6 separate regions of the Mus musculus genome follow, and regions 2, 3, 4, 5 and 6 are each reported to be linked to region 1. Evidence: microRNA targets listed by miRTarBase, many of them from high-throughput screens and not tested one by one. Region 1 holds a microRNA gene; each other region holds the end of a gene's coding sequence. Distances are between the middles of the regions.
The links. The annotated mature microRNA mmu-miR-15a-5p reads UAGCAGCACAUAAUGGUUUGUG and lies in region 1 at 2,665-2,686, shown strand. An mRNA with a match to its seed (bases 2 to 7 or 8) in the 3' UTR can be bound and repressed. Matches are read on the target gene's strand: a 7mer-m8 pairs with bases 2 to 8, a 7mer-A1 pairs with bases 2 to 7 and ends in A, and an 8mer does both.

Region 2: miRTarBase lists Reep4 as a target of mmu-miR-15a-5p. Seed matches in the 3' UTR shown: 7mer-A1 at 4,411-4,417.
Region 3: the mRNA of Git2 is a reported target of mmu-miR-15a-5p. Seed matches in the 3' UTR shown: 7mer-m8 at 1,432-1,438.
Region 4: miRTarBase lists Serinc1 as a target of mmu-miR-15a-5p. The part of its 3' UTR that is shown has no 7-base or 8-base seed match.
Region 5: miRTarBase lists Lonrf3 as a target of mmu-miR-15a-5p. Seed matches in the 3' UTR shown: 8mer at 865-872.
Region 6: miRTarBase lists Senp2 as a target of mmu-miR-15a-5p. The part of its 3' UTR that is shown has no 7-base or 8-base seed match.

What each region holds. Positions count from the first base shown.
Region 1 is chr14:61,629,686-61,634,760 of GRCm38, reverse strand. Mir15a (microRNA 15a) reads left to right here and starts at 2,651; the gene lies at 2,651-2,734. Dleu2 (deleted in lymphocytic leukemia, 2) reads left to right here. Exons shown (of 7, transcript NR_028264.1): 4 at 2,278-2,324. Mir16-1 (microRNA 16-1) reads left to right here and starts at 2,789; the gene lies at 2,789-2,881.
Region 2 is chr14:70,547,888-70,552,962 of GRCm38, reverse strand. It overlaps Reep4 (receptor accessory protein 4), which reads right to left. Exons shown (of 8, transcript NM_180588.2): 6 at 4,888-5,023; 7 at 4,624-4,778; 8 at 4,028-4,533. The coding sequence ends at 4,468. Among named protein-coding and RNA genes, the nearest start is that of Hr, 3.8 kb to the left of the region's middle.
Region 3 is chr5:114,725,768-114,730,842 of GRCm38, reverse strand. It overlaps Git2 (GIT ArfGAP 2), which reads left to right. Exons shown (of 20, transcript NM_001347400.1): 20 at 449-3,432. The coding sequence ends at 661. Among named protein-coding and RNA genes, the nearest start is that of Mir7028, 8.8 kb to the right of the region's middle.
Region 4 is chr10:57,512,943-57,518,017 of GRCm38, forward strand. It overlaps Serinc1 (serine incorporator 1), which reads right to left. Exons shown (of 9, transcript NM_019760.3): 9 at 2,832-4,350. The coding sequence ends at 4,215. Hsf2 (heat shock factor 2) reads left to right here. Exons shown (of 12, transcript NM_008297.3): 12 at 1-201. Among named protein-coding and RNA genes, the nearest start is that of Serinc1, 17 kb to the right of the region's middle.
Region 5 is chrX:36,361,330-36,366,404 of GRCm38, reverse strand. It overlaps Lonrf3 (LON peptidase N-terminal domain and ring finger 3), which reads right to left. Exons shown (of 11, transcript NM_028894.1): 11 at 1-4,641. The coding sequence ends at 4,486. LOC115489189 (a small nuclear RNA gene) reads right to left here and starts at 2,506; the gene lies at 2,403-2,506.
Region 6 is chr16:22,046,253-22,051,327 of GRCm38, forward strand. Senp2 (SUMO/sentrin specific peptidase 2) reads left to right here. Exons shown (of 17, transcript NM_029457.3): 17 at 381-3,017. The coding sequence ends at 443. Among named protein-coding and RNA genes, the nearest start is that of Senp2, 39 kb to the left of the region's middle.

The DNA of each region.
Region 1 (5,075 bases):
TGTGAATTATTGTTGTCATCTTCTGTTCTGAAATTTGAGCTTTTTAAAGTATGAGTGTTCTGCCTTCGTGTATGTCTGCAGTGCGTGCTGGAGGAAGTGCTTAGGCTCCATGTGGGTGCTGGGAACTGAACCTGGGTCTTTTACAGCAACAAAATGCTCTTAACCACTGAGTAACTCTGCAGCCTTGCAACTTGAATTTCAAAAATTTCCATGTAAAAAATGAGCAAATTGAAATACATATTCAGTTGTCAGTGATCACCATACCTGACTTGGCCTAAACAATCAGTTTAGTTTTCCTTTCATAGCCATTAAATAAAATTTGGGTATGTTGTTGTTGTTGTTGTTGTTGTTGTTGTTGTTGTTGTTGTTGTTAGAACAATTTCTTTTTCAAATATGTTACATAAGCTCATTTTCCTAGAAAAAAATCACATGGAAATGGAATTTTTAACTATTTAGTAGTATGCCCTACAAATGATTCTGTCACTTTTCACATATCAAATTTTAGAACTAGGAATTTAAAATGTTTAGAGAAGAAACAGTTCCAAAGATTTTATAGTGGCATTATTGCCACATCAAAGATATTAACATACCCAGCTTTTAACTTCCCAAATTTGTTGCAGTATTTCATGCCTTTAGCTTTGCTATTTAAGTAGATTTTTTGTGCCCTGAGAATTGTTGCTCTGTCATCAGAACTTAAACCTGGTAGTGTTTTCTCCATGTTCTTAGACAACTTCATAAGATGGCTATGGTTCAGAAGCGTCCTACAAAGGCTTATATGTATGTTAATGGTTCATTTGCAGATAGGGAACCAGAAAGGGTCAGTGTACTAGAATAACAGCCATGGGAGACACTCAAAGGACAGTGTCAGGGTTCGGACCTCAGATTCTGTATTCTGTCATTGTGCTCCAACAAATTACTGGTTGCTTATTATTAAATTCAAAAAGTATCCCATTATTCTGATGCAGTCAAGATGATGATATAGCTTGGGCAACATGCCTATAAATGTTTGTGAAGTGCTAAGCTTTATGGAAACAAGATGAATTAATATTAGAAGTTTTATAAGGTAAAAAGTAAATGTTTCTAAAGAAAAATATTAATGGAAACAAATAGAGTTGAAGGGGGAAATAGGACAATTTGGTTTGATCTATCTTCTTAAATTGTTGTAAAATTCTGTTTTCTTATACGAATAATATTAATTTCAGGTATTTAAAGATTGCCATGTATTCCTATGTACACTCAAGTTACCTTCTTAAGCAAAACATTTTGTTTTCTTTTCAGAATGGCTTTTTTTTCCTTTTAAGAACATTAGTAAAAAGTTGAACTATGTAAAAACCCAACAAAGAAAAATTATTTTGGTCCTTAGGCCAGAATATAAACCACTGAATTTGGAACGGGGCATGATGGTGCACGCCTTTAATCCTAGCATGCAGGAGGGAAACCAGGCAGATAGATCTCTGAGTTCCAGTCCAGCCTGGTCTATAGAATGAATTGCAGGACAGCAGCCACTGTCCTCAAAACCTCTCTCAAAAAACCACTGAATTTGAAATTATAATCATTGTATAAAGATAAAGGACAAAATCACTTTTAGCAGCTTTTATCTTTATTTTCAGACTTTTTTTTTTTAAGCTGGCACACTTGAAAGCAAAGGTTTGAAGATTTAAAGACGTTTTGATATTTCAAATGACCCAACATGAACGGGAATGGAGAAATGGCATTGACCCACTAGAAAACATTTGCTACACAGTAATCTAGTTTGAATGGAAAATCTGGTATGAACTGGAATAATAAGAACAGTTCTTTGTGAAGGGATGGCTAAGTCCCCCACTAAACAGAAAAGAGTCTTCTTAATAGTGTAAGAAAACCTAGATATTCACACACACATAAAATGAAGTTGGAACTTAACGTAGTAAAAATTTTGTTTCAGCTAAGTCAAAGTCCTGTGGTATAAAATGATACTCCTTTAAAGGACTAGCCTTTTTAACTGGGAAACACACAAATGGTTACTTAGGCTTGAGCTACAGGATTTCTGATATATCCTTTTAGGAAACCAAATAGACCTGTTATCCTAAGATGATGTTCTGGGTAATAATAAATGACACTGAACTCACAATAACTATTCCAATATTGAGATAAATCTTGTGTTCATGTGTAGATTGGGGGTTATATATTTTTGGGGAATATGTTTCATGTGTATGTCTTCTAAATATTTTGCTAGTATAAATTTCTTGAAACTGAGCTCTTACATGTTTGTTCTTACATGTTTCCTTTAACATGAAGCTTTGTCCTATGGATTTGGCTTTGAAAGATGTGCTGCTCTTAATAAGGTAAAAACCAACTTTTGTAGCTATTTCATGTGTTAAGCACATTCAAAAGTTGTTAGTTTAATAAATGAGGTTCTTAAGTTGGTATGGGAAAATGACTTGCTTTTCTCGTTTCATGACTACAATAAATTACAGCACTGTATTAAGTTTTCTGTACGCTTTTATTAAACTTATGATATGGAAATACTTTTTATTCTGCTGAAAGCCTATAAAATTATGCACATACCAGTGTTAGATTTTTTTCAAACATAGATTTTATGTGTTCTACTTTTTCCTAAAAAGCCTTTTCTGTAAATTACTATTGAGGTGCTAGGAGTTTTCAAAACCAACCCTTGGAGTAAAGTAGCAGCACATAATGGTTTGTGGATGTTGAAAAGGTGCAGGCCATACTGTGCTGCCTCAAAATACAAGGACCTGATCTTCTGAAGAGAGTACCTGTCTTTTTATTCATAGCTCCTATGATAGCAATGTCAGCGGTGCCTTAGCAGCACGTAAATATTGGCGTTAAGATTCTGAAATTACCTCCAGTATTGACTGTGCTGCTGAAGTAAGGTTGGCAATACTCTACAACTGTAATTCAATGTGTATTGATGTTACTTGTGTGTTTACACGGTTTTTCTAATTGCATTAGTGATTTTATGTTTGGTATGATTCTGTAATGATGTTAGTAACAACGCTCTACATATTGTGTCTGTTAAAATACTATATAATTGTGGGATGGTAATGCAGCTCAGTTGGCCAAGTGCTTCTTGCTAGCATGCACAAGGCCATGGGTTTTAGCCTTACCACTGCATACCAGGTACACTTGTAATCCTAGATCTGAGGAAGTGGAAAAAAGAGAATTAGAGGCTTAACATCATCCTTGGCCATAAAGCAAGTCTAAGACCTATGTAAGGATCTGTCTTTTAAAAACAAACAAAACATAATGACTTCTGTGTGAGGAACTGATTATAGGACTTCTAGATACCCAGATTTGTAAATGCTTGGATCTCCTGTATAAAATGTCTGCTCGTGACCAGTGCATATCCTCCCTTATACTTATTTAAACTTATCTCTACATTGTTTTTAATGTGTAGTGCAGTGGGATGTTAACATGGATAGTTGTATTATTCAAGTTATTCTCTTAATGATGAGAAAAAAACTGTACAATTCAGTACTAATGCAGTTTTTGTCCAAGAAATAAGTTTTTTGGTTTGGTCTTTTGAGCCTGGGTCTCACCATGTAGACCAGGCTGCCATGAAACTCACTGAGATCCTCTTGCCTCCGCCTCCCAAATTCTTTGTTTAAAACTGTAGGCCCCAATGCCTGGCCACCCAAATGTTTTGAATGTGTGGTTGGTTGGATCCACAGATGGAGCACTGACTAATAATATAACAAGTATTTTTAAGTCTTGAACACCTTTCCAGAGTTTCTTGAGAGCTACAGTGGTACAGAATATACCCAGTACCACCAAGGCTCGAGCTCTCTTTCCAGCATTTCCATATAAAAGTTTATTTGAAAGAGTTTAGGAAGTACCAAATTGTACATGAATTTAAACTCATATTATTACTTATAATAGAAAAATACTTTTCTCTTGATTTGAAGTTTTCTTTAGATACAGATAAAGTTTGAAATGCTACAGATTATAACATAATCTTGAGTATAATGTGCCTAAATATTTCATTTTAAATGAAGGAGAATAACACTAAAATGTGTACGTTGAATTTTTAAACTTAAATTTAGAAGAATCCTTAGAATAGCTGACCTTTTTATTGGTTAACTGAGGAAACAATCTGAAATTTAATTTGCAACCTATGACATATTAGGGTATAAATCCTATATCTTCTAACTTAATAATTACTGTTTTTCTTATTTTTCACTAAAATGTTTAACAGGAGATTTTTATAAGTCAAAAGTATGAAAGACATCTCATCTGTGCCTTAATATTTAACTTCAGATTAAAGCTAACAGTCATTAATTTTATAAATATATTCAGAATATTTTAATTATTTCAAAGGAAATGTTCTTTTTTTTTTTTTTTTTTTTTAAAGATTTATTTATTGATTATATGTAAGTACACTGTAGCTGTCTTCAGACATTCTAGAAGAGGGAGTCAGATCTCGTTACGGATGGTTGTGAGCCACCATGTGGTTGCTGGGAATTGAACTCCGGACCTTCGGAAGAGCAGTCGGGTGCTCTTACCCACTGAGCCATCTCACCAGCCCGGAAATGTTCTTTTAACTATCCCATGTGCTTTATTTTAAATGTTTTACGTCATTATTTTAAAATGTTCAAGAAAACACATTATCTCACAATAATGTCCTCTAACTCTGTCATTACTTTTTACAAGGAGTCTCTTACCTTTTCAGATTAAAGGTTCATAATTAATTCTACCGTGTGTTGTGGAGATCCTAAAAGTATTTCAGTTATTTTTTAAGGAATTGTCCTCAAAAGAACCACTACTCAATTCTAATTTAAAGGTAAAATTAAGTAAGTTTTAACAAGTTGATTTAATTAACTATAGACTCCGTTTTTGGAGCATTTTTTCTGTGTATGAGTACACTGTAGCTATATTGATGGTTGTGAGCCATCATGTGGTTGCTGGGAATTTTGAATTCAGGACCTCTGCTTGCTCCAATTGGCCCACTCACTCCAGCTCTGTAGCTGTCTTCAGACACACCAGAAGAGGGCATCAGATCTCATTACAGATGGTTGTGAGCCACCATGTGGTTGCTAGGATTTGAACTCAGGACATTTGGAAGATCAGTCAGTGCT
Region 2 (5,075 bases), 8.9 Mb from region 1:
ATCTAAGTTCCCTGGCCTACCTTAGCAGAGGCTTGTGGGAGAGTCTTGTGGCTTGAGGCCTGGTAGTGGCCAGAGTGGAACCCGGGGCTGTCCTGAGTCCTGGGGGCTTGTGGCTGTCTTCCCCTAAGGTGATAGGGACTGTGTCAGGGGAGCTGAACAGATACCCACCCCCGCACCTCCAGTCGCCATATCTGCCTGTCAGATTATATTGCCTGGGCTAGACCAGAGCTCTCAGGACAGTCTTCTGGAATGCTTAGGGGTTAGTGGAGATGAAGGTGAGGAGAAGTACTGCCCTCACTCCACCACGTTCCCCATCCTTGCCTTAGAGCCTATGCCACAGGCCAGAGTCCTTGCAGCTGGCTGTGCTGTGCCTGAGGATGGAGCAGAGCTGAGGACATACACAAAAGACACAAACACGGGGGAGGGCGCTCGTGGGGGGGGGGAAGCCACCCAGTGTGTGGTCACAAGACCAGATCATGGACCTGGCAAACTTACTAGCACCCCCAGACTCACATGGGCCCAGCCCTCACCCACCCCGACCCCTCACAAACTGACACACATGCTGACACACACTCGTTGCTGACAGGCACAGACTCTCTGACAGCCGGCTGCCCTTTCTCCACCCCAGAGACCCTTACCTGGGCAAGCACAGTACCCCTCAGGCAGAGTAGCCCCCTGCCCAGGGGTGGGCAGCAGGCAGGGCGGGGGAAGGAGCCCCGGAGAGTCAGGCCAAGCTGCCACTAATCCGGGCGGGGAGAGGGGGGGCACCCACGTCAGAGCGGGGACTGCCGGGTGGAGGGCATCTGAGGACATCCCCTCCCACACACGCGGCCGTCTGGGCACCTAGCCCTGCTTCCCCAGCCCCTCCATCCTTCAGACAGCTGAAGCTGGCCTCCCCCTACCCCACCCCCACCCCTGTGGCCATGCTTGGGGTGGGGGGGCATGGGGAAGGGGGATACAGGGCGAAGAAATCTCCCAGGACCAGGGGGAGGGGACAGGGAAGGGAAGTGTGGAGATGCTGCGGGAGCCAGGAGGAAGCTTGGGGTAGATGCTGTCCTTTCTGCTCGCTCGCCCACCCACCCACATCCTTGACCTAATTCCTCTTCTGGAGCCCTTCCTCTCTCTAGCCCTCCCCCACTGCCATCTAGCCTGCGTTGTGTTCCAGGCTGAACTTGGGACCTGTGTGTGCAACGATGCCAGCTCTGCCCCCAGGATCCCCCAACCCTAGGAACCAGCGGTGAAGGTCGCTTGTTAGTGGGCACCAATCTCAGATGCTGGGTGAGAAATGGGGATGTGAACCTGAACAGTTACCCCCTGGAGCTCCTCCAGTGCCTGCCAGGACCCCTAACTCAGCCTGGGCTAGGGCTGCATGTGTGGGACCCAGAGGCTTAGGATGCTGCTGGGAGTGGCAGCTAAAAATAAAGCCACAGGATCCTGTGTGCTGTGACAGAATCCAGAGAAGGGGAAAGTGACCAGGCTAATGAAGGGCCACAGGTCAGAGGGACAGTGATGGAGTCAGAGGCAGAGGGTTAAAAAAGGATGGCAAGAGGTGAAGTGGAGAGAGAAAGGACTGTGAGAGGAAGTCCCGGCTGTCATGGTAACAGGCCAGGAAGAGTAGGAAAAGCTGAGGAGTGGGGGTGGGACCAGAACTCACAGAAGGTATGTGCTAGGGACTGGTCTCTGGTGTCAGGTCCTTTTCCAACCTTGATCCTATCTGGGGAGGAGACCAGGCACACTGGTCTCAAGTAGAAAGTTGGTGGTCCTTGGAAAGTAGGAACAAGACCAGATGCCCTCCCTTTAAGAGGCCAGGCCAGAGCATCAGTGGTGGTCCAGGGCTCTTTTCCAGGGGAGGATAGTGTTGGGTGAAGGTGTGTTTGGGTAGTTCTCAGAGCTGTTCTGAGGGATGTCCAGGTTGCTACCCAGTGCCCCAAGTCTTGGCTCACATTTATGCTTGCCCAGAAATGCCTACCACCTGGACCTTCTACACATTTGTTTTTCTGTGGCCTCAGGATGCTTAGTAACCATGTGATTTTACCCAGCCATTCACCAAGCCATACCAGAGACACTGGTGTTTTGAAAGCTGTGTGGTGGAACTAAGGTGACACGGCACAGCCACCAAAGCAAAAGTTCACTCCCACCCTGAAGAGGTTTAAGATGTTTGATGTATGTGTTGGTTTAGTCACAATCCTCTTTCAGGCTTCGGATGGGTGTCAGGCCTTGAGCTGAGGCTGGGAGCCACAGTTAGAGATATGACCGTGGTGACAAGTGACTCCACGACTTCTAATCCTATGCTGGGGAGTGAGAGAGGCTTCTCAGAGGAAGGGGTGACGTTTCAGTGCAGAAGTTAGACACTAAGCAGGATTTCACCAACAAATCACACAGTTATAAAAATATCACACCTTGGTTCAACCATGTAGTCTGGGATACAACAGTAAAAATAAGGCTGAAGTCTCTCCGTGAGTGGCTAGGCAAGGCAGAGGCATGCGCGCAGAGGGTTCTGAGACAGGTGTATGAGTTGGAGTAGGAGAACAAAGCAGGCCGGGGGAGGGCAGAGGTGGGCTCTGCAGAGCCAGGGCACAGTGGCTTCAGCAGTCCTCCCAGGAGGACCAAGTGACTTTGCCCACCTCTCGGGCAGCACCTCTATAGAGGAGAAAGCCGTTTCACCTGTAAGATGGACAACAGGCCCTTTGCGAAGATTCAAAGAAACCAGCTCTGAAATGCTCAGCACAAGGTCAGGCGAGCAACAAATATCCCACACATGCCAGACTCCTTCTCCCTGCCCCTGCCCCCAGGCAAGGAACAGCCCATTTACTGAATAGTGATTAAGAACATCAACTCTGGAGCCAGACTGCCTGGTCCAAAGCCCAATCCTGCCACTTACTAGCTAGTCCACCTTGGGCAAATCATTTGCCCTTTGTGTGCCTGTTTGGGAAATGGGGATCATAGTAATAGCGGCTACTTCCTTGTCTCCTCACCCCTACAGTTCCTAGCAACACATCTTTTGGGTGAAGTAATGAGGCAGTAAGAGTCAGCATCACATACAGAGGGGATGCCATAGAGAAAAGCCACTGAACCCCAGTCCATGCCAGGCTAAATCAGCCACACAGATTAAGTGCCTTCCCCTCCAATAAAACCCAGATAATCCCTACACCAAGAGTTAATCCTCACAGGACACTCCAATTTAGCAGCTCATAGTTTTCCTCCAACCAGCACTCTTGACTCCGAAGTGGGAAGGAAGGACAGATGGGGTGGGAGGAGGGAGGACCCTGGGTACAACGTGCCTCCTACTTTAGGGGCAGATGACCCAGGGATCAAAGGAGATGGATTAAAGTCAACCCAGGGCAAGCGCCTGGGTCTCTATGGATGGAGAAGGCAAGCATCAGACAAGGGCTATCATTGGCTATCATCATTCCTTTGGCCTGCCCCATCAGCATCCAGGCCCCAGCAGGGTGAGGCGTTGGCTCGTCTCTGAGCCCCGCCCACTTTGACCTGGAAGGTGGGGGCAGCCTGGCCCTAGGCAGCTGCTGCCCTCTTGTGGCTTAGAGTGCAAATTCACCCTAATCGTATCTGAATGTCTACAGGAAGAGTTCACTGAACTGTGGCTCCTCTAGGTTCATGGAAGACCTAGCCTGCCTCCTCAGGTTTGCTCTGTACAGTTTCTATAGGCTCCCCATCTCTTTGCCTCTTCCTGTAAGTACTGATTCCCGACTGACCCTTCAAGATCAGTCTGACTCTTTGTTTTTTGTTTTTTGAGACAGGGTCTCTCTAGTCCTAGCTGATCTGGAACTGGCTATGTAAACCATGCTGGACTCACAGAAATCCTCCTGCCCTCTCCCCCTCAACCATGTTGGAATCAAAGGCTTGTGCCAATACACCAGGCTCTACCCTAACTCCACAAGGATCCCTAGGAGCAACTGTAAGAATACTGCTGCTGGGATGGGGCACAGAGATCTTCCAGCAGTCTCTACACCCTTTGCCAGAGCCTGCAGTGAGTTGTTAGCTACAATATGAGATGTGAAGAGACAAATTAGGAGAGGCCAAACACTGTTTGGTATTTATTTATATAAAAATATTCATAAGCCTGACCTCACTCACCAACACGAAACATGCAGCTAGTGTACGTAAACACACACACACACACACACACACACACACACCAGGCCTTGGAAAAGGCTGTCAAGTATTTTGAAGGACAAGAAGGAATGAACACAGCTGGTTGGACTTTTGGTTTCGTCGGTAGGGACTGGTGGGGCTCTGGTCCCGTGTCTGAGAAAGTAAAAGGCAGAGGAAGGCAATAAATAGGCCCCAGGCCTGGGCTGCTTTGGTATAGTGAATGTCTCCCTGTGCAGGGTACCACGCCATGTGCCATTTAGGCACAAGCCAGACGGAGCAGAACCCCGGTAGCTGGTGTAGCAGCGAAAGGTCCCCTGCTGGCTCCAGAGGTAAGGTGGCCTCAATCTGCAGACTCTAGCTGTCCATGTCTGAGGGCATGGCCTTTTTCCGGGTTCGGACCTTCAGGGAGCGTGAGGTGCCCTTGGGAAGAGAAAGCCAGTATACCTTGAGTGGTGTGGGCACTGCAGCTCCATCCACACCCCCCTCATGCCGTCCTTCCAACACACTTACCTCTCGAGTCAATGGCTTCCTCTTGACCACCCGAAGGCTCTGGCTGCGGCCTAGAGGCTTCTCTCGGGGCCGAACAGGTGGCTGGGGGACGATCTCATTGTCTGACCAACACTCATCCTCTGTGTCACTGCCCTGCAGGCCGCCTGGCCGGTATCCTGCCAAAGAGAGGCCCGCAGGGCAAAGCTGAGCACTTATACAAGCCTAGGGTCACGCCCAGCTTGCCTCTAGTCCTCAGAGAGGTCAGCTCCCCCTCTTTCCACTTACCAATAGGGGGTCTACGTCGGGGTACCTGGTCTTCCAGGTAGAGGGGATCTTGGTAGGTGGGGACAGGGGTGTCAGGGATAGAGCGCAGGTCTTGCATAGAGAAACTCCGCAGCCTTCCAGCTAGAGCGCCTTGACTCTAGGAGGTGAGGGATGGGAGCCGCTGTTAACTCCAGAGGAGGGCTGCGAGG
Region 3 (5,075 bases), not on the chromosome of region 1:
GTTCCTGTTCCACATTGTTTTCAAGTATGCCGTCTCAAGGGGCTTTGAGATGTTTTCACTGTGCAGGAACATGGGTTTAATAAGACATCAATATTTAAGTCAGGCACTGCAAGGCAACGCAATGGAGTTTAGGATATAGCACCTAAGCTTCTCTTCGTAGGCCACGAGTTGCAAAGCTGATAATGTTTAAAATGCCAACTAGCTGGGTGGTAATGGGGCATGCCTTGGGAAGCCGAGGCAAGAGGCTAACCTGATCTACAGAGCGAGTTCCAAGATAGCCGGGGCTACACAGAGAAACCCTGTCTCGAAAAAAAAAAACAATAAAATACCCAGCTGAAAGCAATCAGACTTTCTGGGGCAGCTCAGGTTGCTCTTGGGAACTGGCTCACTCCATGTTGCTGCCTCCACACCCTGCAGCCCCCAGCAGACGGCTCTGCTTTCATTTCAGAAACCCAAGTCTGACACGGTGAGGACTTCCCTCCGCCTACTCACGTCCAGTGCCTACCGGCTCCAGTCGGAGTGCAGAAAGGCTCTCCCAGGAGACTCCAGCTTACCCACAGATGTGCAGCTGGTCACACAGCAGGTCATCCAGTGTGCCTATGACATCGCCAAGGCCGCCAAACAGCTGGTCACAATCACCACCAAAGAGAACAGCAGCTGAGCTCGGGTGCTGTCTGCCTGCCCATAGACTATACACGAACTCTTCAGATTTTTACAAAACATTTAATGATGATTTCAGACTTTTTAAAAGAAAGCTCAGTATTATTTTTTGCATGTTTTCTAACAGATTTTTGACTGTAATTTAACCCTTGCCTTATTTGTGCCTATTTGCAACTTAGTTCTGTCCTGTCAGATTGTCACCAAGTGCTTAGGTCATGACCCCATGTGTTCAAAAGTCATTGTTCCAAGTGTGTTACAACTTTCCTGTCCTTTACAATCTCTACCCATGCCTAAAGCTATAATTGATATTTTTAGTAAAACATTTTCTTAAGAGATAAGAAAGTTGGATTTAAAAACAAAAACAAAAACCCCAGCAGCAGCAGCAGCATCCGTCCCTTCCAAGCATCGTGCAGTCAATCAGGAAGCTTCCCTTCCATCCTGTGGGGTCTCTCCATGTGCACGAGGAGCAGAGCTTCCCACTTCCTAGAGAGAGCGCATCTCTTGGGAGTGACAAGGAGCGGATCCATTTCTAACTCTTGTATCATGTTAAGTGTTGTCTTATTTAATATTTTTATCTTGATTTTCTATCTATAAAGATTTTACCATCATGCTGATGTCTCCATAATGTCCAAAAAAGTAGTTAGAAATCCACCCTTTACATCAGCTTCCAGTCGGCCACATTCAGAGCAGGAGCACCGCCCACTGTCAGGGGCCTGCTTCCCCGCCAAGCCAGACAGTTTACTTAGAACCCTGAGTCAGTTTCACAGGCCGTGCTGCTGACATCCTCCACACGGCTCCTCTGGAAGGATGTCTTCCCAGGTAAGACGCAGGGCCTCCGTGTCCCCATCCCCTCACGGGTAGTTCATGATTAGAACTCCTGTGGCGCTGCACGAAGAGTTCCCCGTGTGCCCTAGCTGGTGGCAGCTCCCCCACAGCTCCCCAAGGGCAGAGGTTGACACCCAGGCCACCGCAGCACTGGCGCTCGCTGTGCTGAAGGCACTTTGTCGATCGCTTCTGCCTGGGTGGAGCTCTGGCCCTGACCTGAGGGAGCAGGCAGTGGCTATGTTGCCAGCCAGGTGCACAGACAGCCAAGGGCGGCTAGGGACCCCACCCAGCCTGTGAGGACAGCAGCTTGTCCCACTCATACCCCTCATGCAGCTGTAGAAAAGTAGCCTGTGGCTGCCAGTGCTTTGGTTTTTCAAGGAACCAGAAGTTTGAGTTATTTCTTGACATTTTTCTTTTCTTTTCTTTTCTTTTTTTTTTTTTTGGTTTTTCGAGACAAGGTTTCTCTGTGTAGCCCTGGCTGTCGTGGAACTCACTTTGTAGACCAGGCTGTCCTGGAACTCAGAAATCCACCTGCCTCTGCCTCCTGAGTGCTGGGATTAAAGGCGTACGCCACCACCGCCAGGCTTCATGACATTTTTCTAATCAGAAATGTGGACAGTCAATCCAGACATGCCCACTGAACAGGCTGCCCATCTCAGCCTCCGCTGGGGTCTGTAACCTGCACATGAGTGAACCTGTCAGCCAGCCCTGGAAGGCAGCATCAGTCTCCCATAGAACGACCAAAGTGAGGTGACCTCAGTATGCTGAGCCTGCCTCATAGTCCCTCTTACAACATGGCCAATGCATCCTGGAGACAGCATCACCTCAACGTGAGGCTCACAGCTCGGAGGAAAGGCTCAGCGCTCCAGGGGCCTGCCCACTCATCGATACACACAAGCCTAAGTGCTGGAGGATGTCCAGCAGGGCCTTTTAGAAAGGGGCCGGCCAGTGTGAGCTCAGGCATCCTCTCTGACAAGCTTTTCTGCGTGCTCCAAGGATGACTGCTCTTCCTGGCAGGCTCCCTGGAGCTGGTTCCAGCCTGAGCTGGTTCCCACCATCCCCAGAGAGAGCAGGCCTCTGTTGGAAGCTTCCGGGAAGAGAACTGTTAGAGGTGGAGTGGTGCAGTCCCGTTAAGTCACGAAGAAGAATGCTGTCCTTGAGAAATCAAAGAACACGGGGCCAGTACAGCATTTCCAGACGCTCTCAAGAACACCAGTCAGTCCCATGTCCTCCTCAGGCTGAAGGCCCTGTGTGGAGGCCTGAGGAGACAGCAGGAGGGGCCCCACACAGTCCCTCCTGAGACCTGGCTGGGGTTAGAGCATACTGTTCCTGTGGGCAAATGCGTTTTGTCTCAAAGCTCGCCCTGGCCGTTTTTGGGTTTTTTGCACGTGGGTCTCATCGCCTCGCAGGAGTGAGCTCTGCATCCAATCTGGCTGCTCTCTCCCCTCTCTGGGATTCTGCCTTCCCACCTGTGTACCCCACTTTCTAAGATGGAGAGGATGAAGACACAATTAATGGAGCAGGCCCTGCCTCAAGCTCCGTTCCCGGAAGGCACTGTGGCCTCAGCACCACGGTCTTTACTTGCCAAAGACGAAGTCCAGTGTTGCGTGCACTCGGGACTCTTAACGGCACAGCGCAGGGGCTCTGCCCTGACCTCAGTGACTTCCATCATGGAATGCAGCCTGAAAGCCGCGTGTTTTCATCCTCCACAGCTTCGGTGGGCTCGCAGTGCAGTTTCCTTTCCTTCTTTGTCCTAGCTGGCTATCACCCACGCTCTTACAAAGCAAAGTGCAGCATAGAGAAAAGAGCATTGCATACCTGGTGTTAAGCCCCCTCGCTCCTCCTCCTCTGGTGGCTTCTCAGCATCCTGAAGTTACTGTCCCTGCCTGTAAAATCCTTCTGGAATCTGTGCCCCACTGGTTATGCAATAAATCGTCTCTTTAAGTGTGTGGTCATGTGCCCCCTCTAGTTGGTGGATATTTCCAGACTAGGTGGGCTGGGGGGTTGAGATTTGGTCTTTTGTTATCTATTGTAAAGCTAAGTGCGGGCTCCCAAAACCTGGTTGTCCCAGAGACAAGAGAGTCCCCACTGAAGACATTAGGTGACCCTGTCCCCATGTTAACTCTGATTGGAAAATAGAGATTCCAATAACGGGGCAGAAGAGACATAGGTGAAGTTTGGGTTTCGAGGGCTTGGGGTTGGAGGAGGACCATGAGGAAAAGAAGGCAGCAGGAGGGGGAATGAGAGCAGCCATGGGTTAGGAGGAAAAAAAAATGGCTCCGTGGGCTGGCCAATTGGAGTTAAGAGCAGCCCAGATAGCCGGGCAGTGGTGGCGCATGCCTTTGACCCCAGCACTTGAGAGGCAGGGGCAGGTAGATTTCTGAGTTGGAGGCCAGCCTGGTCTATAGAGTGAGTTCCAGGACAGCCAGGGCTACACAGAGAAACCCTGTCTCGAAAACAAACAAACAAAAATAACAGCCCAGATGAAATATAGTAATAACTTGGGGTTGTCAGTAGGAAATAGATCCTAACAGCATAGATGGGTAGACAACGGCCTGACTTTCATACTGTTTAAGGTTATGGTGAATATGAGGGTTGTTTGTGTCTTTCATCCAGGAACCTAAACAACAAAGTCAGGGTAGAAACCTCAGACCAAGATTAAATACTTTCTGCAACAGTGGGGGCAAGCTCCCATGTGGCTGATCTGTAAGGAGACATGGTTTAAGGAGACATGGTCTTGGCTCAGTCTCCTTCCTATGTTCTCTGTAGCCTGTTTTGTTTTGTATTTGAGGCAGGGTCTCATGTAGCTTAGGCGCACCTTGAGCTGTCATCCCCCTGCCTCTGCTTCCTGAACACTGGGATTACAAGCATGTGCCACCATGCCCAGCTCTTCACCCATGTATCCATCTAACCCGGTAAGCTTACCCCAGTCATTTTTAGGTCGGCCCAGGCTGGCCCCGCACATGCGCCCTCCTTCCCAACAGGCAGTCGGGTGATAAAACTAGGCCCACAGTGGGGCCAACCTTAGCCCCACCAGCATGTTTTGAGAAGTGACTTGGTACTTCAGATGAAAGGAGGAGGAGACAAAAGAACCATTCCTGGGCCTCTCCAAGTGAAGTCTGAGCAAGATGAAGTGTTACATATACCCTGTGTGGCCCAGCTTGCCAGGAGAGAGGGCCTACAACCCTCAGGTTGGAGCCAACAGCTCACACCCAGAGTGCTCCTGAGCCAGGTTCCCAAGACCGCCTGCAGAGCTGCTGAGCCTATCCCACACACACCCTGATCTGACTGCATGATGTGGGCGCTAGAGCTGTTGCCACCACCGCCGCTGCCGCCACTGCAGATCAATACCATGCCAGAAGGCATTGTGCTGCTGCAGGCAGACTCTGTGAGGTCCATGCACCACACAGCACTTCCCCAGCTCTCGGTTAGCCATCGTAATTCCAGCTGCAGTTGGCTGTGTCAGGCGTTGCTCTGTTCTTTCGGTGGGTGACTTCTTGGGAGTACCGGGGAGATACCTTAGCCAGTAAAGGTGCTTGCCTCGCGGCCTGACAACCTGAGTTTGACTCCCAGGTCCCACTTGGTAGAGA
Region 4 (5,075 bases), not on the chromosome of region 1:
CTTTAAATTGTGTTGTCCATTATCACACTGTGAGTCACATCAGGGTCTTTGTGCTTTACCTGGGAGGGGCGGGGGGAGACTGTGTATTGCAGTATGGGAGGAATATGATGCTTCTGACCTTAATGTGTTTTAATGTTCTTTGTTTAAAAAGTATACTGGCTTGCTTTCTATGTTTCTAATAAAGAACCAAGAGAAAAATTCCTTCTCATTGTTGCAAATAAGATGAGAACATTACCACTGGATGCCACCAAATGCCAACGTTTTCTACTGCAATATAGGACAAGAGAATCAAATCAAGTTGTCCCTTTCAAGAACTGGAGAGGCTTTAAGGCCAGGGTACTTTAAAACTTGGACAAGTCTCTATTCTGGCAAAGGGCTAGAAGCAGTGTGGTTAATACCTAAATTGTACAATTATGCGATAAGGCATTTCCAGAATGCTTCTTTGGGCCATATTGTGCTCCAGGTATTAGAATTTTCTTTCTAAGTGGTAAAAGAGTTCTAATAAGTTTGCAGGAGAAATGAAGACTAGCATTCCTGACTTTTCTGACCTTCCTCACAGTCCTCCAGTCTGTATTTCTTCACTGGCTTGCTTCCTTCCTTGACTGGAGAAGTACACACCTTCTAAAATTACATTCACAATAGGAACTGACTTGGCTTTCAAAATCAGCTTATAGGAGAGCCACCCATCCCTCCTGCATACTTTAGACTAATCATCTTGATTATGAGCTTTTTAGGTTGGTCTGTTAAAGCTTTTAGTGCTCACTGGTAAAAGAATTATCTGAGTTGTTTAACAAAGGTTTGTTTTTTTTCCACAAATACTTCTTTTACTGGGATAAACAAGATTCAAAGTTTAATAATGGCTCTTGAGCATCAGTTTTGATTTTGCTATCACAAACAATATAAATTTTGTTATAGTAAATATTAAGTATTTTAAGTCTTTCATAATTCTGTATTAAAATTCTATTCATCAGGTCTTGTTTACTTTTTCTGAAACGAAAATATCAGAAAAGTACAGACATGTATAAAGTAACCCTGGGTGCCATCAATCCAAGTCTGGGCCTGATTTGTTGAGAAGAGTTCAGATCTTTCCTCCTGTATAAAGATCATTACTATTGAACAGCCCAGCAAGTATAGAATGTGAGATATAAGGTGGAGAGTGAGTGTTCTTTGCAAGTGACTCCAAGTTAATTTAAACCTATTAAATCAGCAGGTTTCTACTTCTTCCAGGCAGCTGGGGCTTATCTCATCTGATAGTCTTCGAAGCTTGACTCCCTTTTAATTGGGTACTCACTCTAGCAGGAACAGGCCTAGTGAATCTGGTCAGTTTCAGGAACTTCCTGAAGCTATTTTGAGTTTTCCTTCCTACTTAAGAGCTTCCTACTATAGGATGCAATATTTTGATCTCTGAGGAAAATGTTTATTCCACAAAATATGTATTTGTGAAGAAGAAAAAAAAAAACCCCCGCACATAATTAAGTGTTGCTTTCATCTCTAGTTGCTTCCAGCAAATAATCTTTGGTCTAGCCACCATATCCTATATACATGTATTATATGCTGATTCAAGGGATGAATGGGCCACAAAGGGAGAATTGGGAACGTGGTACATATCCGTGGGTACCAAAGCATAGTAAGATTAATCTTAAACTGGCTTGGTTAAAGTGATCAGAATGAGTGTATGGTTCTAAATGTTCTCAAAGTCTATTATTAAGTTGGTCACGGGTTAAAGTTTGGTTTGTAAAAGCAAGCTACGAGTAGTAGTATTTTACAGACAAGCCATTTCCCATGTCATGACTTTTCACTAACCCAGGATTTGAGTTAGCTATTTCCTTACTACTTAGCTTACACCCCATGTGTAATCATTCACCCAAGACATCCACTGTCTAGGTTTGGCTGCTAGAAGCAGTTGTAATGGCTACAAACCAGAGTTCAGTTCTCATCAGGCAGTTCACTAGCTCCAGGTACTAACTCCAATGTCCTTCTCTGGCCTCTCTCTCTCACACAGAGATTGCTTGCTTATACACTCTAGAAACTCTATAAAGAATTTACAAGTAAAATATACCAAAGTTTGGCAACTGCTAGAACTGGATGTCAAATGTTCCCATGTGGACAGACAGCATGTTCCCAGGAAACTTTAGAAGGTGGGAATGGGTGTGGGCAGACCATTGAAGATTATATAATCCTAGTAAATTGTGAGAGTCCAGAATCTTGCTCTGCTATGGATCCTCACTGGTATGATACTTTGACACTCCAAAGAAATAAGGACACTTAATTGTGTACTGGAACCTTCAGACTTACGAGCCAAAATAAACTTACGTCTTCTTGTGATCTATTGTGGAGATCAAAAGTTAATGTAGTGATTCATGGATAGGAAGATCTTATCAAATAGGCTAGAGTCATTTGGGAATAGAAGGTCTCAACTGAGGAAATGTTCCAATTACACTGGCTAGTAGGCAAGCTGATGACCAGTTTCTTACATCACCTTGATGGAGAGCCCAGCCAATTGAGGTAGTTTTCATCCCTCCTACTCCCTGAGCCTGTGGTTCTGGAATGCTCTATAAAAATAAGCAGGCCAAGTCATAGGCATCAAGCCAACAAGCAGCACTCCTCCGAGGCCCTGCATTGGTTCCTGCCCTAACTTCCCTGGATGGTGGACTTCAAACTGTAAGAAGAAATAAACCTTTCTTTCCCAATGACTTATGGTCACTTTTATCACAGCAATAGAAATCCTGAGACAAATTGTTGGCCAGAGAAAAATGCTGGCCACAACCTTTGGAAAAAAAGGCCTGTGGAAGGAAGAAAGCCACCTACATTTGTAATGCTACCACCACACGTTTTCTTTGAATGCATTTATTTAAGAGAACACAGCCATTCAGAATTGTGAAGCAGTATTAACACAGAGTAAGGCTGGAACATGAAGATGAACTGCTATAGTACATTTGCACAATAAATACTTTTAAAGACACATGTAGTTCTTTAAAAGCTAGATACTAACATAAATAACTAAGCATTTTTATCTTAATTAAGTGGCATACTAATTTTCTAGTCGATTTACTATATCAATTGCATGGCAGTAAATACAAACATTTTAAGCATGATTAAATATGTAGTGAATGTAAGTTGTCTATTCCTCAAGTTAATTATCCTCCTGGCCTCATGTTTGGATAAAAAGAAGAAAAGCATGCTGGACAGCAGCGATACATTTTACACAAATTTATCTACTATTAATAATGTATAAAGTGAATTGTACATTTTGAACACAAAGTTTTTATGTCATAGTGTTGGCTATTTTTGGTATCCAACTTTGTCACTAACTAGCTTTAGAGCTAGTTGACTTTTAAAATGAGAACTGGACTAGACTTTATCTTAGTGCCTAACCCGAGCCTAATGTTTTATGTCCTGTAAGGTTTCCCATTTTGTTTGGGAAGCTTTTAGTTTCAAATTTTTCTAACACAATATCTTTTGCAAAACCTTGTCTAAATGCAGAATTGTTAACATCGCCATGAAATTCATAATTGTGTGTTCACAAAGAGCAAATCATTTTTTTTTGGTGGGCGGGGGTGACGGCCATATTTTCTTACAGAGAAAACCGTGATCTAAGTACCTGCTTTAAACCCGTATTGCCAGTGACTTCCTGTGACGGCTCCTGTCTATTGCTTAGCTTCCCTCCACCTCCTGTACTGTTTTCCACTAACTATGGAACATCCTGGGCCTACCTAGTAAGAGAAGATTCTGACAAAATTAAAGTGACTTAGAGTTTTCAAATAACTAGCCTGTGACTTATTTACATAATTTTAAAACAGCTATTTGCTTTATACTTGTAGTCCTCTGTAAGGCAACAACAACACATCAAGTATTTCAAAGGCAGCCATACACTTAATTAATGTTTCTAAAATAAGTGCTAACACAATTTTGAAACCCAAATGTCAAGAATATTTGTTTTCAGTTTTAATACCATATGTACACAAAGCAGATGATATGCCTATCAATGTCCATTTTTCCCAATTTCTCACCATATTCAAAATTCTCCCTTTCCAATTCATATCATCAATAGACTTAGCAAGAACATGGATAAAATTGGCAGAGTAAATCTATTTCATGCAAGAGAAAAACAGTGTTACACTTACACAACAGCACATACAACTTTACAAAAATTGGGAATACTGTTACTGTCAAATAGACAATGGCCAAAGTGGGACTCATGCCAGACATCCCATTCAGTCAAAATCCCGATTTGTAAGAACAAGTGGTGCCACTAGTGTCCACACGTACAGCACAAGGCCAATCCAACTGGAAGAGATTTTCACCCAGACTGCTGTCCACTGACTTTTCATCTCACGAGAAGGCTCATACCTACAATATGAGGAAAAGTCAAAGTGATTGTAGGTTAATGGCTTGTGTTACTAAGCTATCAAGCTACTAGGCCCCTTCATTTAAGCTTCCTTTGTATGGAGTTTGTGATAATGTGCAGTAGCTCCTGGAATCATGATGGTCCTGCCATACCCTCCATACTGCTGCAGCAGATCTTTCACATAGTTCGAAGCAAGGTATGCAATCTGTACATGTTATTAAATAGGAATAGATGAGGATTGAGTAAAGTCTCATCTGACTATTCTGTACATGGTTGCAATGTTGATGGGCCTCCCTTCTCTACCTCACCACCCTCCCCTTCTAAGATTTGACAGATGGGGAAGGAACTAGATCCTAAAGTCAGCTGACTTTTGTACACACACACAAACCCTCATATTTATTTTTGCTTTTGTTTTTTTAACACACAGATTTCTCTGTGTAGTCCTGGCTTTCCTGGAATTCACACTATAGATTCAGGCTGCTTCTGCCTCCCAAGTGCTGGGATTAAAGGTATGCTCCACCACTGCCTGGCTTAGATCTAAATTTTCAATATTTGATATATAGTAAGTAAGTTATAAATTTCTGATAATACTCTTTCATAATAAAAATGAGTAAATACTAGCAGAAAATACATCAGAAAAGGATGATTTTTTTCTCCATCTCTGCTGGTTCTATAATATTTAAAGACATGTATAACCTGTCCAACCATACAGGTGAATATCAACCTT
Region 5 (5,075 bases), not on the chromosome of region 1:
ACAGTGTTGCTTTGTAAACTTCTGTTAATCACATTTGTGGCTGCAAACAGGTTTTAAATGCTAGAGTCATGAAGCAAAAAGCTTTAAAGTGACACCAGGAACAGTGGTTCCAGGCACTTCTCTCTGGAGGTTATTTTAACATGTTTGGAAACACCCACTTGTAAGTGAAAAGTTCTTCATTTCATCACTGGATGTGCACAATCCAGACTATTAAGTAGTAAAGCAGTAGACTGAATGGGACCTATCGTTCTAAAAGGAATTGAATGTGTACACTGTGCATGGCTCCTTTGCATTCCTGCCCGCTGAACATTAGAAATGCCAGAAAGCCAAGCATATGCTTTTCAGAGCTGTCTTCTATCCAGAATCTAAACCTCATTCCCTAGACCCAAGAATGGGCTTGCAGCCTGCCCATTTCTACCTTGAGGAGTTGAAACGGACACACAGTCCACAAGCTGGGAACTCAGGGATGAATCTATGGCTAAAATTCACATGCTGAAAATGGAGTTGGCACAGGGAATGCAGGCTCCAGGGGGTCGCAGTCTATCAACAGGACACAACTTGTTGACAGGGGTGCAGTGACCCAGCCATAGGAGTTCTGAGGCTTCTGTGGCTACTCACAGGGGATTATCTGAACCCAGGGCAGCTCCACAGGCAGAGGTGGCAGTGCCACGTGCGCCATCACAACTCAATCCCGCTACTGAGGCAGCACGGAACTCGAAGCACGTGGCCTTCAGAAAAGGCATGCTATTGGAATAGTTCTCTGCTCCCCTAAATGAGGAGCAAGCATCTTTTTTTTTTCTTAAAATTATCCACTGCAAAGTAGTTTCTTCAGTTTTCACTTTCTACATTTTGCTGGTTTTTAGCTAGCAGCAATAGTACGGTACAAAGCAGAAAGGCATAAAGTCTGCTTGCTACCTAGGGTCTCTTTGTGTGTGTGCACACATGAACACACACACACACACACACACACACAGACAAGAGAGAGAGAGAGAATAATCTACAAGGTCTGGGTCAGTCATGAATTCAAGATAGAAAGAAAGACTAACCCAATAAAGTGGCACTGTCTACAAGGAGGACTCTTATCCTTCCAACTCAGATATAGTTTTTATCTCTGTACGTCTCATGTCTGAGCTTAGAAACAGAACCTATCCACAGGTGTTAAAAGTGGTCAAGTTCGATGGATTAGCCCACTTATGTACATCCCAAAGAAAGTCAAAGCCTAGTATCCTGCCGTTACTATAATTGCTGGAGAACAACCCAATCTAGATCCAGGCTCAGAGGAAAGTGCTATTTAGCCTAGCAAAGATCTCCATCTGTTCTTGGGTATTCTCTTATCAAAGGAATTGTATCAAGAAGCCAAAAATCCACTTTCCCCCTGGATTAGTAAGAGATGTGTTGGACGGCTTCATTTGACTTCACCTGGAACTCCTCATTTTGAGCTCTTAGGGGTTTTGCCATGCCTACTGAGTGAAACATACATAACACAAAATGTTCAAACATCTGTCACATTGTTGGTACAGAATCAAGCTTGGCCACTCACTGAACATGTTACATAGGCATATTCTTTAAAATTGTCCATTCTGTTTTCTTACCTATGTTTTCTTATCTATATATCTAATGATGCTGTTTAAAAGGTTATTTCATGTGTTCAGGTAAGGGAGATCGAGATCACTCACTCAGTTTAGTACCTGGTACATGGTAGGTTTTCAGTACATCATTGTAGAGCCTGTTATTTGGGGCAGCAGAAAGAAATACTATTGGCTGTGTGCAAACTCCATAGATGGTGAAATCTAATTGTTCTGAAATCTAATTGTTCTAGTTGAGATTCTCAATATATGAAAAAGAGGGAGAGATGGTTTTGGTTATTCTTATGGAACCAGAACTTAAGGCTCCCATTTTATCAAGAACTCTAGATGTCCCCCAATACGACACTATTTTTTAGCCCTAATTAAAATGGGAACAGTTTTCTTGGCATAGAAATTAGTCCCTACAACTAACCCTCATTTTCTCTCCAGTATTTTAATTTTCCCTACATTTATTTTATTTTTTACAGAACTGGAGAGAGAATCAGCGCCCCATGCCATGTCAGCAACTGAGATGTATCCCCAGCTCTACTTTGCTGGCCTTAACTCCAATAGGAGTCACTTGCAAACTATCAAGTTGTGGTCCAAGAATCAGTGGTTTGGATTTACAGTAGGGTACAAATGAGAATTACAAGTAAAAGCAATGCTTCATGCAACTGTAGACCACTGATGATATTCTGCAACATGGCTGATAATAGTTATAGTTCACCAAATAGCTCCCAACATCAAGGTACTGTTAAGTAATTTCTTACATGTCCCGTTTAATGTTCCTAGCAAGCCTATATACTATTAATATCACTACAATTTCATCTTTTAGTAAAATATATAGAACACTATCCAAATTTGCCTACAATCCTTGTGAAGGGGCCATGCTAATCTCTGTTTCATTCTAATTTTAGTATATGTACTGCTGATGTGAGCACAAGTACCATTTCATATATATAAGAAAACTGGGACTCAACGGAAGCTAAATTACTTGCCAAAGTAACATATGTCGTAAGTGGAGAAGCTTCTGCTCTTCTTTGTTGTGTTTGCACTATAGAATAGGAAGCAGTCATACTAGGACTTCACTATAATCACATGGCTGGCTGGGTATCAGGTGCCAGGGAAAAATCCTCTTAATGTCCTGCTTTCCGAGCCCTCTAGACTTAACTTGGATAGTATCTACTTCTTTATTTACATTCCCTACACTTGCATCATTCTTCACCAGCCCAGATTATTCCAAACAGACCTGGCAATGCTCTGACAACACCGCCTCCATCAAGCAAGTTGTCAGTGATAAGTTGCTTTCTGCTTCCATGAGTCTCTTTTATAGCATTTAGAGACCATCTCTCTCACACACACAAGCCCCACCTCTTCCATGTTTCTGGTGGTTATAGAAGAACCTAGACTGATCCTTGAAGCAATCTCTCTCCTTCTTCGAACCCCCTCTCTTGTTAACAGAATGGAGAGCCTACACGTGAATAACACACCATAGTTGTCCAAAATCACCTGGGAGTAGTTTGCATGAGAAACAAAATCTGACAATTCACTTTTCCTAACTCTCATTTTCTCCTCTGCCACTATAACACTCCCACACTCCATTTTTCAGGTTTCTCTGACACCGAAGGACTCAGACTAGCACTAAGCTCAGAAACTTACTCCCATCTCTTCACTGTCTTTTCTCCCCCTGCATTGAAATCTTTGGCCCATCTTTACCAGGAGGGAAGGCAGTGTTTACATAAAACCATGGATTCATTCTCTGGATCTTTTATAGTAATTTAAAAGGGGTTCTAACCTATCCAGTTTCTTCACACTTTAAGAACAGTCTCTCAAGTATTCCAGCACACATTGGTACAGGTTTTAAACTTCAGAACTCAGAAGATAGGGGAGAGGCACGCCAAATTGAAAGCCATCCCCTCTGAAAATACAGGTAAATATTAATCTCTTCCCTAACTGCACTGGGGAGAAATTAATACTTTTCTAATTAGATTGCCTGAAATAAATACCTATAGTAGTAGACTGTAATAAAAAGACACCTGTAATTCATCTCTCTGATCTTGAATATGTCTTTCAACCTTATTCTGTATTACACATGGAAAATGGATTCTTTTACTTTACTTTGGTATATCCCACAATTTATGCCAAATCAATTAAGCATTTTTCTAGTCCTTAAATTAAACTGAAAATGTGGAATCTGTGAAGATGAATTACTTTAGAATTCTTCTGAAGTTCTTTTAAACTTAGTCCACTAGAATAGACCTGAACTATGTATATATAAAAGCCCAACAAGAACTGGGATTAATTCAACAAAAACTGAGTAAAGAAAGAACATTGCACATGGTTAGTACTGTTATCCTCCCTACAGAGTAAGCCACATCAATAAATAAAGCAATGGACTTTTCAGTAATGTACACTTAAATAGTTACAAACATATATGTAGAAAAACGACGCAGTAGTGCAAAAAATAAATTATTAAAACAGAAAGAAGTATGAACATTATTTTTTACAATGCTTTATAAAACCTGAACCATTTGAAATGAGACCTCAAGTCAGTGAAAGAATGCAGTAACATTAGTATCTCTGCTTGACATTTCAACCACACACTCATTTAGCTATGAACAACAACTCACTTTTTTAACTTCAGAAAAATTGATGCTAAACATCAACTCTTTTTGACTTCTTCACACTTCTGCTATTTGTGTGTTAGTATAGTGTTTCAAGAAGCATTTGAAGACAGTAAGTCAAACAGGTCACATCCTTTTGGTCTTTCTACCTCATTTCTGTGTGGTCAAAAAGAATAACAACATCTATCTAGGGTACTCTCTTCTGTTAAGGTGTTATTGCAATTAGATATGTTTACAAGAACATTGCCTCGGGGCAGTGGAGAGGGTAGAAATTCCTCTTCCACAATCCAGTCCCTTTAATTTTGGTTTCTCGATATAAAGGCCAGGATACGCCGAATACCATTCAATCTGTCCTTTAAGGACCTCATTGCTAGGAAGGGAAGCTGAGCTCTGCTTTCCAGAGGAAGAACCGCCAGTGTCCACCAGCACCAGGCTGGACCATTCGGATTAACCTGCAACAGAGAAACACAGTTCATGGATCCCATGTAGTCCATGTATAGAAGTCCACATGCATACAGTAAAGTATCACACATGGAACTGCTTCTGTGTGTGGCACACATTGCTGAGAGGCATTGTTTTCCTCTTTTATTTCAGCTAAGCATACATGGTGGCAGGGGATGAGGAAAACTGTTACTTCTCAGGCATCTTTGCAGCTAGGTGAGGCCATAAGGTCAAATTTTGGCTAAAAACAAAGAGAGGTGATACATCTAAGTTCCCATCATTTTATGGGAAAAGAACATGTAGTCTCTTCCCTCCTCTTTCTTCCAATTTTTTAAAATTTCTTTTAAATGTTTTTAATTATTTTATGTGTATGGTGTTTTGCCTGCATGCATGTCTGTCTGTGCACTACAGAAGTCAGAAAAGGGTGTCAGATTTCCATTAACTG
Region 6 (5,075 bases), not on the chromosome of region 1:
AAGATAGGAATTCAAGAAGGCCGCCTTGACTAGAAATAAATCCCACTGTGCTTTAGAATCATGTGCATGGGGGCTGGAGAGATGGCTCAGTGGTTAAGAGCACTGACTGCTCTTCCAAAGGTCCTGAATTCAAATCCCAGCAACTACATGGTGGCTCACAACCATCTGTAATGAGATCTGATGCCCTCTTCTGGTGCATCTGAAGACAGCTACAGTGTACTTAGATATAATAATAAATCTTAAAAAAAAAAAAAAAAAGAATCATGTGCATGATGTAAAACGGTGAAGCTTATGTAGAGGACATGTGCATTGTTGTATTTATGACACCTAAAGGCTGTCGTGCTGCACACAAGAGTGTATAACACTGTCGTTCCTTTCAGCACCAGATGCCTCTCTTCCGGAAGAAGATGGTGTGGGAGATCCTTCACCAGCAGTTGCTGTGACAATGCCCCGCCTGGTCTTCTAGCTGCTGGTGGTTCTTTGATGGATGTTTCCATATACCTCATGCATTGTGGGTTAAAAAGTCCCCGATCATTTCTCTTCTCTCACAGGTACTGAGCTCTCAAGAGTGCATGAAGGCCTCTCCACAATGGCCCTGACTAGAGGTGTGGAGGGGCTGCTTGAAACCCTGTTTCTAAGGCTGTGCCTGCTCAGAGCCCTGGACTATTCACCCCATACAAGAACAAATGCTAATTAATGTGTTTTGTTTTAAAGCGTTATTTCCATATGAATGTGGGAAATGCAGGATCTGTTATATGAATTGTTCTGTGTGTTCACACGAATTCACTCTCTCATTGGGCAGTGCCCTTTTCCCACTGCTCTTTTATAATTAGCTATAAATAATTTGGACTATTTATTTCTGAAAAGAATGTTAATCAAACTGCCACTTCCTGCTGCAGAGAGATATCAGCAGGGGGAGGAAGGAGGTGTTCGCTAGCTTCTCTAATGCTGGAGTGCGAACTGCCGACATACAGTTAAGGTTCTCTCTTTTAAGGCTTGAAAATGCCAGAAGAAATGACGATGCTCTGTTGTAGGATCTGGCTGCCTTTTAGAGAGTCTGATGCTATGACACGGGCACAGTTCGTGGAAATGTGGCCAAGGAACTCGATCTGTGCATCCTCAGAACGGGGCGTGCGCATCTTAGAGACTTTCTTTTCTAGAACCGAAGTAGCTTGGCTTCCTCTTGAAACTGGATTCAAAGTAACTGTGAGCATCCATGTTAAGTCGTAGGTCTGGTGAGTGAGTGTGTGAGCCTCACCAGGGAAGGGCTGGCCTGAGCTGTCTGCTCTGAAGATGCTCCTCAATGGAAGCCTATTTTTCCTCAGAGTTTTTTTTTTTTTTAATATATATATATATAAAGCTGAAATTAAGTTCTTGGCTCATCAGCATGCCCCACTCCAGCCCCACTGAGCCTTTGGAGAGAGATTAGTACTTGGCTCTGAGGTTGCCAGGTTTACAGGCATCTATTTTGCATATGAAAGTTTGTATTTAACTTTTTTGTTCATTAAAAATCTTACAGGTGTGGTTATGCATTGTCAATTTCAGAAAGTTGGTCAGAGCACATTTTGCAAGATCTAGTGCCTAGTGTTGCTTTTATGACGTAATAAAAGACTGGCAGAACCTAGAGTATATTCTGATAATTTTTCCTCTTTTCTCTGCCTCAACCTTCCAAAGTTGTTCTGGTACAAAAAGAGAGAGAAAGAGAGAGATAAAATTAGAAAAGCTGCACACATGTTAGATACAAACGTACACGTCTGCTCTTGGGACGCCTGGGCAGCTGATCAGAGGTTGTAGCTGTTGAAACCTGTTTGCTCTGAGACTTGAAATGACCTTCGTTATGGAAGCTGGGCCTGTGATGGGGACTGAAATGGCTGAGCCAACCCGAGACCAGGTGGCCTAAACCTGAAAGCGAGCATGTGGTCTAACAATTCAGGGGTAAACGGTGTTGTAACCTCCTCAAGGCAGACTACACAGGGACCCCTTCCTTTATTTAGCCTAGACCCCCCCCCCCCCCAAGCACTGTGCCAGTGATGCCGGGATCAGGCAGCTGGTCTAACCAAAAGAGCCCAGAAGTTGATCCTGTCTACACTACTAAAACCTGGGTGCTAGAATTCTACCTGAGAATTTATGATCCCGGCCTATCAAACAAAATAGCTACCTGACCAGAGTTTGATCCCCAGTGCCCACACTGGAGGGCGAAAACTGACTCCCCAAAATTGTCCTCAGACCTCCATACTTGCACAAACCAACAGATGGACCAAATTAGTAATAAGTAAAAAAAAATTAAAGGAATTTTAAGGGCCTTGGATAGGTTTGTTTCTGTTGGCTCAGTCCTGCTTGGATGGCGACTTTCTCTCCCCAGGTGAGTGATGCTATAGCTAATGTGGCATTTGAAGGTGTCCTCAAGCTCGCCACCCGGGTGTGCTTAGAACAGGAACCTGGAGAGACAGATGGTTGGGTGGTGAGGCCAGGATTGACTTTTAGTCTCAGCCAGGTGTGTCTGTAACAAGCTGGATCCCTGCTCACATCTGTAATCCCAGTTCCCAGTGGGGAGAGGCAGGGTCGGTAGATCCTTCCTGGGAGGAGCAGGAAGAGTGATGGAGAACAACTTCCCTCTCCCATGTCTGCTCATAAGCGCATCCACCACATTCCTGTGCACACACAGTAAGTTCTTATAGAAGATGGAAAATGCAAAAGTACAGAATGTTAAGCTATGGTGGCACTGCTTTACCTGAGTGTCTGAATCCAAGCTAAGGTACCAGAAGCCCCAGCTCTCTGTCACCTGTGTGCGCACGGGTAACAGAACTGTTACATTGAGCTTATGAGAAGAATACAGATAAGTGAGAAACAGCACTTGGTGTAACTAGTGAGTCGGCAAAATTAAAGCCGGTAATGTTTTTGTGAAATTTCAATTTTGGAACCTGAAAGAAATGTTGCATTGTTCTGTTTAGCCCATAGTCTCTAAAAATGAGTAAAAGTTTAAGAAATACACACTGCTGGTGACATCTCTTTCTGCAGCCGAGTGCTTTATGCTTGTGCTTTGCCTTGTGTTGGAGCTGGGTCGGGAGAAAGCCATCTGATGGCCATCCCTGAAGATTACATGGTCTGTCCAGGCCGATGAAGGCTGTTAGAACCCCTGCTCCCTCTCTTTGAAGTCCTGAACACCTGGGGGCTGCCGGGGGATGCTGGGTATTCACCTTCACCAAGGGGATGTACGTGATGCTCGGATCTTGTGTGGGTATAGGGAGTCTTCCCGGGATACAGTAAACCCCAAATACACAATTTAAAGTGCCATAGTCAACCCACATTATTTAAATGGCCTTGTGAACTAATTTTGAGAAAATCTCTGTCAAGTAAGTTTTTAGAACTTATTTGTAAGTTGGAGATACATCTGGCTTGCTGACTTAACTGTTTTTTTTTTTAATTAGGTATTTTCCTCGTTTACATTTTCAATGCTATCCCAAAGGTCCCCCATACCCACCCCCCCAACCCCCTACCCACCCCCCCAACCCCCTACCCACCCACTCCCCCTTTTTGGCCCTGTCGTTCCCCTGTACTGGGGCATATAAAGTTTGCAAGTCCATTGGGCCTCTTTTTGCAGTGATGGCCGACTAGGCCATCTTTTGATACATATGCAGCTAAAGACAAGAGCTCCCGGGTACTGGTTAGTTCATATTGTTTTTCCACCTATAGGGTTGCAGTTCCCTTTAGCTCCTTGGGTAATTTCTCTAGCTCTTAACTGTTTTAATATACACAAATTATTTGGGGTGTGTTGGAATACTAATTTTATCTACTTACCAATAAATTAACCTCTTAAGTAGTTTTTAGATTTTTAAATTGGAACTCATTAATATATTTTATCCTATGCCCAATACACAACATGGATATATATCATTATTTTGTGAAATAAACGTTTGCTTTTTCAGGCTGGAGAGATGGCTCAGCAGTTAAAAGCACTTTCTGTTTTTATTGAGGTCCATAAGTTTGAATCCCAGCATCCACACTGCAGTTCACAGGGAACCCAATGCGATGCTGTCTTTTGGACTCTGGACACACCCACATGATATATAGACACTCAGGACAAATACACAAGAGTGGGTCAGCTGGAGAGGTGACTCAGTGGTTAAGAGCACTTCTAGTGCCAGCTCTCTCTTCTGGCCTTCTTGGGCACCTGCACTCTCATGTACAAAACCATGTACATATGTAATTAAAAATAAAAAGGTGAGACTGGCCTTGAGTCAATAGAGGTCTGTCCAGCTCTAAATCATCTGTTTCATTTCTCAGTGCAGAGGTTCCAATCCAGGGACTTTGGTATTTTGGGCAAGTATTCCATCACTGAACTAAACCCTCAGCCATAGTTGAAAACACTGGTCTTAATGACCTGAAAGTAAAATGAAAGACAGGGGGTTTAAAGACAGGGAAGGAGGGAGAAAGAGGCACAAACAGTTTGAAGATGATCCTTCTAAACCTAGGCAAATAGGCCAGAGCTTCCAGATACTTGATGGAAATCTGTGGATTAATCACTCTGGTTTATACATTGGCCTTTCCTAAATGTGTCCAGTAGAAGTCCAGTTACTTGTCTACATAGGTGATAAGACAGGAAATCTGAGATTGACAGGATGGCCCAATGGGAAACCAGAACTTGAAGGGGGACAGAGAGCACCAACTTCTAAAAGTTGTTCTCTGACCTCTGTATGCATACCAACACACACATCCAATTTAGAAAACAGAATCTGGCTCAGTGAATATGTGGAGTGTGTCTTTTCTGCCTGGAGAGGCATAGCCAACATGAAGGTTGTTTTTTTTTGTTGTTTTACAAACAGTAAGAAACACTTTATTATAACTTTACAACATATAAATAGCTTGGTTCCAATCTGTGCTTTCTGGCAGCTGGGCACCACATTCCACCATCCCTTGTAGGCTCGTGAACATGAAGGTTTTATGTTAATAAATTGTGTCTTTTGTTTTTATTTTGTATTGAGAAAGGTCTCTATAATCCAGGCTAGCCTGGAACTAACTCACTGTAAAGTTGATACTGTCCTCAAGTCTACAACAGTTGTCCTGCCTCAGCTTCC